Linked DNA regions of Arabidopsis thaliana. The protein of the gene in region 1 interacts with the protein of each later gene in a pairwise test. Each region holds a gene or a part of one and is shown on either strand. Other genes may lie near its edges.

Region 1 (3,760 bases):
GCTCTCGTTGAGAGATCATTTACTCGAGCTAAGTTATGACTTGGATGGTTGTGTTGCAGGTGAAAGGTAGCTTTGCAAAAAAAAAAAAAGTTTGAGGTTATGTCTGCATGTTTCCCTGTATACAAACTCAACCATTTGTATTTTATTTTTTGGGTGCAAAAACTATAATTTACGTAGTTTTTGAACACTTTCATAACATCAAATATTACCCACGTGATAAGTGAAAACGAACCGAATATGTAATGATCAGCGAAGGTCCCTACGTGGAATTTAATATTTGTGTCATTCTTTTTAAGCAACACCAACAAGACACTGACATGGGTTGGTATTTATAAATTTGCAACGTAAAGTATATGTAGTAAGATTGTATCTTCTATGGTTGGGACTGTATCTAAACCAAACCGGTTTAATAGGGTATATATTTTTTTTGTCTTTGTCTTTGAATTTGTGGGGTCATAAATCACGGGCATCTTCATTTGGAAATGTATTCATAGTAATGTATATAAACTACTTTCGAGCCGACTTGGTAATGATTACGAGAATCCTCTGCTTTTGGAGTAAATTTCTAATTTAATATGTACGTGTATCTAGATATATATACGACGACATGTCGTTACCCAAATGCTTCGTTAGAGGATAGCTTGTTGAGAACTTGACTATGCCAATCATATATGTTTGTTTGGCTTTATGTAGCCCCAATATTAACAACTTAATACTAAAAAACCTAATAACAAAAACATTGAGTAAAAAACTACAGTACTTATAAGTAAAAAGAATAATGATAGTAGCTACTTCATATACATAATTTACATTTCTTAGAAATAATTGTTTGTACTTTCTCGAGTTAGTCAAAAATTAAAGTAGTTTTTTTATAACCGAAATACTATTTAGCTAGTGGAAACTATATTTTTCTGTTTTTGTGCAAGTAAATAGTATGCATATTTATAAGGGTATATGTATAAGCTAGCTCGAAAACCAAAGTAGAAGAGAGTAGGAAGGTGGTAACTGGTAAGTAGGGAGACAAGTGAAGAGCAGAGCTTCTATTCCTCCAATTATTTAGTTAAATAGTTGTGAGACATATTCCTTACATATTCAGTTTCACTATTTTATTCTCTACCACTTAACTTGTTAGTTGGAACTAGGTTATATGGTATTCAACATATACTCATACTTTGTACGTAGACGCTTTCTTGAGTAAATAAATTAAACCTTTCATCAAAATATATATATATATATATATATGTCTTTGTATATTAACAGTATGCACACACATATATATAATTTAGGTCCATAATTTTTCTACCCCGAAAATTAGAGGAGATTAATTTGGTCTCTTATCTACTATAATGTTCGAACTTGTGACTTGAAAATTCTCATTTTGACTAACTAATCAGTATACAGGCTAAACTATCTGATTAGATTTAAGAAATTAAATCGATATGATATGTAAATGAACACATAAATTTTGTGGTCTATTTTTAAAACTCAATTAAAGAGGGTAACCTCATGAACTTTTAAAAAGTATGTCGAAAAGTTGACTATAATTTGAGAAACAAGACATATGGAAAGGAGAACCATTTCATTGATCCATCAAAGTTTCTTTTTTCATGTTTTATCTTCTGCAAAAAAACTGTTTTAGGGTGAACTCTGTGGTACTTTTAAATAGGTTGTTCCGATCCCACTTTGTTGTATAAATAACTAAAAATAATATGTAGTTCCAATGAAAAAGATCATTATCAAATATTAGTAGAATGTAAGTGTATACAGTGCATAAACAAACTGGTTAACGTGTCAAATAAATTACAAATCAGTTAAATCATACAATATAGAACATTTCGCAGTAATCTGCCCCATATTTAGTAGATTTGTTTTTGTAAATTTCATGTCGCAAGTATAGTATTTAGATATTGCCAGAGGAGAAAAAACAATTTTTTTATAAATTTTTTGGCCATAGATACAATTAAACCAACTGCCAAATTTTAGCTTTTAATACGTAACGTAGGGTAACAAAGGATAACGCTATAGTCGCTATCTATACATTATTAGGTACATATTTATGCTTATAGCCATGATTACACAAAGATACGTATTGATGTGAGTGTATATATAAGCACGTGTCACGAAAACCCATCATAAGTTCACTACTCATAATCTCTTTCTCTCTCTCACACACACACACAGACACACACAAACATAGAAGGAATCAGAGAATAAAAAAAGAATGAGAATAAGGAGAAGAGATGAAAAAGAGAATCAAGAATACAAGAAAGGTTTATGGACAGTTGAAGAAGACAACATCCTTATGGACTATGTTCTTAATCATGGCACTGGCCAATGGAACCGCATCGTCAGAAAAACTGGTACTCTTTCTCTCTCTCGCGCGTTTTGTGATTATATATATTAACTTTAGTCTCTAGCTAGTTCATATATAAATATATCTCAGTTAGACTAAATTTGATTCGTTGATAGGGCTAAAGAGATGTGGGAAAAGTTGTAGACTGAGATGGATGAATTATTTGAGCCCTAATGTGAACAAAGGCAATTTCACTGAACAAGAAGAAGACCTCATTATTCGTCTCCACAAGCTCCTCGGCAATAGGTACATAACTTTATGTTACTACAATATTATACACCATGTCTTTTTATTTAATCGATCGTTAACTGATTTTTTCTTTCGTCAAATATTTGAATTGTTGTTTTAAACAAAGATTTGGCCGGTTAAGTTGATTTTTAAAAATCTAATTGAAGGATTTTCTTACTTGCAAATGTAAAAATAAAGAGAGTTGACAAGTAAAGACTGTTTTATTTCAATTAAACTATGTGTTCGTGGATTATTTCACATTTCAAAAGGTGTTTTCTTCACAAAATAAATCTTAAAAATAATCCTTTGAACTTAAAATATGTTCAAAATTTTCAAGTTGATATATTTTTCTGAAGAAGAAAAGAGTTGCACAAGATAAAAGTTTGTCTTCTCTTCAATGAAACTCAACCGATGTGTTGGTGGGTTATTTCAATTTTAAAAGGTGTTTCCTCCAAAAACAAATCTTTAAGAGTATCTTTTGAACTTAAAAATGTTCGAACATTTCAAGTGGATATATTTAATGAATAATAGACACTTTTTCATAAGTGTATTAGTCGTGCAAACAGTCACTTCTCAAAATTCATTATAGAGTTAGAAACGTTTTCCACAATTGAAAAATAAAAATAAAAAATCCTCTCTATGTATATAAATATGCATTCATTTATGAATCACATACAGATGTCGAAATAATAAAAAGAATCATAAACATATGGTATGTTATAATTTATGTTATATGGTATGAATTTAATAAAAATGTCCTATAATATTTTTTCCCCAAATTCAGATGGTCTTTGATAGCTAAAAGAGTACCGGGAAGAACAGATAACCAAGTCAAGAACTACTGGAACACTCATCTCAGCAAAAAACTCGTCGGAGATTACTCCTCCGCCGTCAAAACCACCGGAGAAGACGACGACTCTCCACCGTCATTGTTCATCACTGCCGCCACACCTTCTTCTTGTCATCATCAACAAGAAAATATCTACGAGAATATAGCCAAGAGCTTTAACGGCGTCGTATCAGCTTCGTACGAGGATAAACCAAAACAAGAACTGGCTCAAAAAGATGTCCTAATGGCAACTACTAATGATCCAAGTCACTATTATGGCAATAACGCTTTATGGGTTCATGACGACGATTTTGAGCTTAGTTCACTCGTAATGATGAATTTTGCTTCTG
Region 2 (3,760 bases), on another chromosome or scaffold:
GATTTTAGTGTTTTCAAATCGCAAAAAAGTGTTACATAGCAACTACATCAATACTACAACTTACTTTTGCTAGAAGAGAACGGCTAAACACTTTACTATCCGCCGTATGAGCGTTGCACAACCATATCGGTTCACCGTTTGCAAACGTCCGTCCAGGCATTCTGCAAAAAGACAGGTTCATTTAGAAAGCAGCAATGCATTCTAAGCTTAATTTTTCCACATTTTTTCTTCCTAACATATTCATAATTATTGAAAGTTAATTAGCCGTGTTCATAAAGACCAAAATGAAACGAATTTTTTAATTAATCCGGACAGAAACAAACTTTTGTGATGATAAATAAACCGAACTAAACTCGAATCGAACACAAATATACTGCAACCAAACCGAATTAATAAAATTTATTAGATGTAGAATAGAGTTAAACATACTAATGCATATATATACACATTATTATTTAAAATTAATTATGTTTTAACTTTTTCTTTTGTAATCTGAAACCGACCAAATCCGGACATTAAATTTTGAAACCAAACTGAAACTAAAAAATTGGTTCTAGCTCATACTTTTTTCCTGCAGAACCCTGAAATCTAACAAACCTAAACTGAACCATAAAAGTCGAAATCCTTGGACCTACTAGTATTAAAAGTATATTTTGGCACGTTGTTTAAAACTGGCAAAGATCAACACGATCATGACACATAATAAATGTCAATGCTGATAGAGGAAAAGACGGAATTACCCTTCACCAATGTTGAAGACGAAAGACATACAAACCAAATAGTACCACTCGGTGTCGGCGAGATCTTCCGGTGAAAGTGCGGCGGCGGAAGCTCGTCTGGTGACTTGAGATCCGGCAGCAACGCCTGAAGAAGAAGATTCAGCGACGGAGAGAGACTCGTAAAGCTCGCTAAGCTGCTCGCTCCTCCGTAGACCAAGCTGATCAGCTTTGATCTCCGAAGCTTGAATCGTCTTCCTCGTTTTGATATCTCCATTATAGTATCCATCTCCCCATTCTAAAACTCTTTTTATATATAGAAAAACAAAAACAAATATCAAATCGAATAAAGAAAACAAACAAAACATTTTCTTGAACTAATCAAGAACTTCAAGAAGAAGAGAAAAAAAATTGAACTTTTAAAGAAGATCAAGAAACCTTATATGAGTTTATAAGAAAAAATCAATGGAATCAAGAAAAACCTAGAGAACCTTGTCTTGAGTTGTAGAACTAAACACTAGTTTTGATTTGAAGTGAACACATAAGTTTTATCTAATTTTCCAATTAAAATCAAGAAATTTACTTCATCAATATCTTTCAAAATCTCCAATATCTAGTGTTCAATGAATATGATTTAAGAAACTTACCCAGACTGAGAAGCAGAGACAGACCAAAAGATACCATAACTCCATTGAATGTTTCGAACTGAAACTGCGAGGTGTTTCTTCAGATTCTCTGGCACAGTTGTTCTGTTTTGTCCGGTAGCCATTGTTTCTTCATCCCTATATCCCATGAAACCACACACAGGGAAAAAGAAAAGAAAAGAAAAAAATCAAACTTTTTGTCCTGATTTAGAAAGAAATAAGATACTATGTTAAATTTATAGCCTAAAAAAGAAAGAAAAAGGGAAACTTGTAACTCTTTACATTTTTTTTGAAGTATCAGAGAGGATACAAACTAGATGTTAAGGTTTTTGTGTTTGTCATTTGATGAAACAGTTGCCGTTTTCGCCGGAACAAACAGAGAAATGTTTGAGAGTTTTTTTTTTCTTTGGTCACTCCATACTTTTTTTTTATTAATGTTGTTTTGAATATTAATTTTGTTGTTGTTTGAGCTTGAACTCGAAAGACTAGAAGAACTGTCTACGAATCCTTTTTTTCTTTGAATATGACGATATCATCTTTGTTGTGTACAGAACAAAACACAAGACATTTATGACGAAAATAAAAAGTACTTATAATTTTTTAATGATTTATGAGAAAAAAAAAGGATACAAAAGTAGAGGAAAAAAGCAAAACGCTGATGTTGATTGATTGTTCCTCTTTTTATCTTGAAGTTGATTGATTAGTTCCTCATTTGGGAAGAACAACCTTTTTTTAAGACAATGAACTACAATGTCCATTGTTGTGGTCTTGTCTTCAATAAATTCTCTATTCAGTCTCTTTGTGGTTCTAGAGATCTCTTTTTTTTGGGAATATTGAATCATTGTGTGTCTCTTCCAACACTGATTTTAAAGTTAAAATGTTATCACGTCAAGGCTGAACTTTTCACCCATCTATTCTTGAAAAAAAATGTTTCCCTCACTTAATATCCCCACTGATACCAAAAAAAAAAAATTTGTTTCCTTGACTATTAGATCTTTGAAGCAATGTTGACTAGAATACCATTAGCATGTGATCCAAGTCCAATCTAACCAGCATCGTATGATTTCTTTCATTTTGTATAATCTAATCAGTCTTATTACTATTTGAGTGATCGAAATATATTATTGTCGGTGAGTAACATCGTTTTATGAATTTTCCAAAAGTACACAAAACGACCAAAAGTATAATGTCTCAAATCAGAGTATATGATTAACATATATAATAATAGTAAAATCATCAGCTTTTTACTTGGTGTCAAAACGAAGCTAATCGCTATGAATCTAAATTATAGTCACAAACACAATAATAGATAAATTGAGGAGGAAAGAGATAATATAAGAACAGTCTTTACTAAAATTGGGAAACACAAAGAAAGACACGAAATTAATGTTTGGCCTCGAGGAGTTCCCCCAATACGTACAGACACAATCTTAATTTTTGCAATCACATCTTTAAAATGAATAAAAATGTTATGGACATTTTCGACGTTGATTCTCCCTATAGTCATATACTTACAATATTATTATATTTCAAAATTCTCTTATACTATTAAACCTATATTTTCGAAGTATTTATGCAACTATTTAAAATATAACTTTAAATAAAACCCTGCTAAATGGACCATTAGTACTTATTATTTTCCTTTTCTGACATCTAGAAAAGAGAGAGACGTTGACGTCAGAAAACATTAAAATATATATACACGTTCGGTCCCCTACAAGATCAAAGTCTAAACATTCGTAGTGCTGTTGATCGGAGGTTTCGGTAAATTAATCGGATGTGTTGATGTTTGAGGGTAATATTTAGGAAATTTGGTATAGCTTTCGATACAACAATATAAAATTTGTCTGATCCAAACTTATGTAACACTAATATATATTGTTATTTTCAATCAGAATACTAACTCAAGTTAAATGGGGAATTCAACTCCTAATCCGATGAAGCCTTGCTGGTTTGGATCAAGACGTCATCTTCACTTCAACAACTCCATCTCCTGACTCCTATCTTTCGCTATGGTTTGCTAATTTCCAACAAAATTAGACCACATCTTTACTGATCTTACTAGAACACTCGTCTCTATATGTTTATCTTATTTGATTGTATCTGAGCATTAAGGCTCCTCTGTAAGACCTCTTTCATATATATAAACGGAACTAATTAAAAAAAGAAGTAATATATATATATATATAGGGTATATACTATGTTGTTATTTTCTTGACATAGACGGCACAGAAGAAATAATGTTGTAAACACGGCCATTAAAATCATAAACTTTTGGGCATGTACGAGAAGATGTGAGAGATTCAATGCTATGTATAGGACAATGGAAGCATGACACTATTTTGCTATTAACTGGTTTGTATCCTCTCTTCTATGTTAAAAAACTGTATGTTTTCCCAT

What was found. The genes of interacting proteins can lie anywhere in the genome.
Region 2: the proteins of MYB0 (region 1) and GL3 interact in binary tests that used the Arabidopsis thaliana proteins (3 or more experiments, as listed by UniProt).

What each region holds. Positions count from the first base shown.
Region 1 is NC_003074.8:10,361,968-10,365,727, reverse strand, and holds the start of MYB0 (myb domain protein 0), read left to right. Parts: upstream 1-2,120; 5' UTR 2,121-2,221; coding exon 2,222-2,360; intron 2,361-2,469; coding exon 2,470-2,599; intron 2,600-3,365; coding exon 3,366-3,760. UniProt on the Arabidopsis thaliana protein: Transcription activator, when associated with BHLH2/EGL3/MYC146 or BHLH12/MYC1. Involved in epidermal cell fate specification in leaves. Together with TTG1 and GL3, promotes trichome formation and endoreplication.
Region 2 is NC_003076.8:16,527,182-16,530,941, reverse strand, and holds the start of GL3 (basic helix-loop-helix (bHLH) DNA-binding superfamily protein), read right to left. Parts: upstream 1,853-3,760; 5' UTR 1,645-1,852; coding exon of another isoform or gene 1,643-1,644; 5' UTR 1,510-1,642; coding exon 1,364-1,509; intron 1,023-1,363; coding exon 741-1,022; intron 162-740; coding exon 65-161; intron 1-64. UniProt on the Arabidopsis thaliana protein: Transcription activator, when associated with MYB75/PAP1, MYB90/PAP2 or TT2. Involved in epidermal cell fate specification.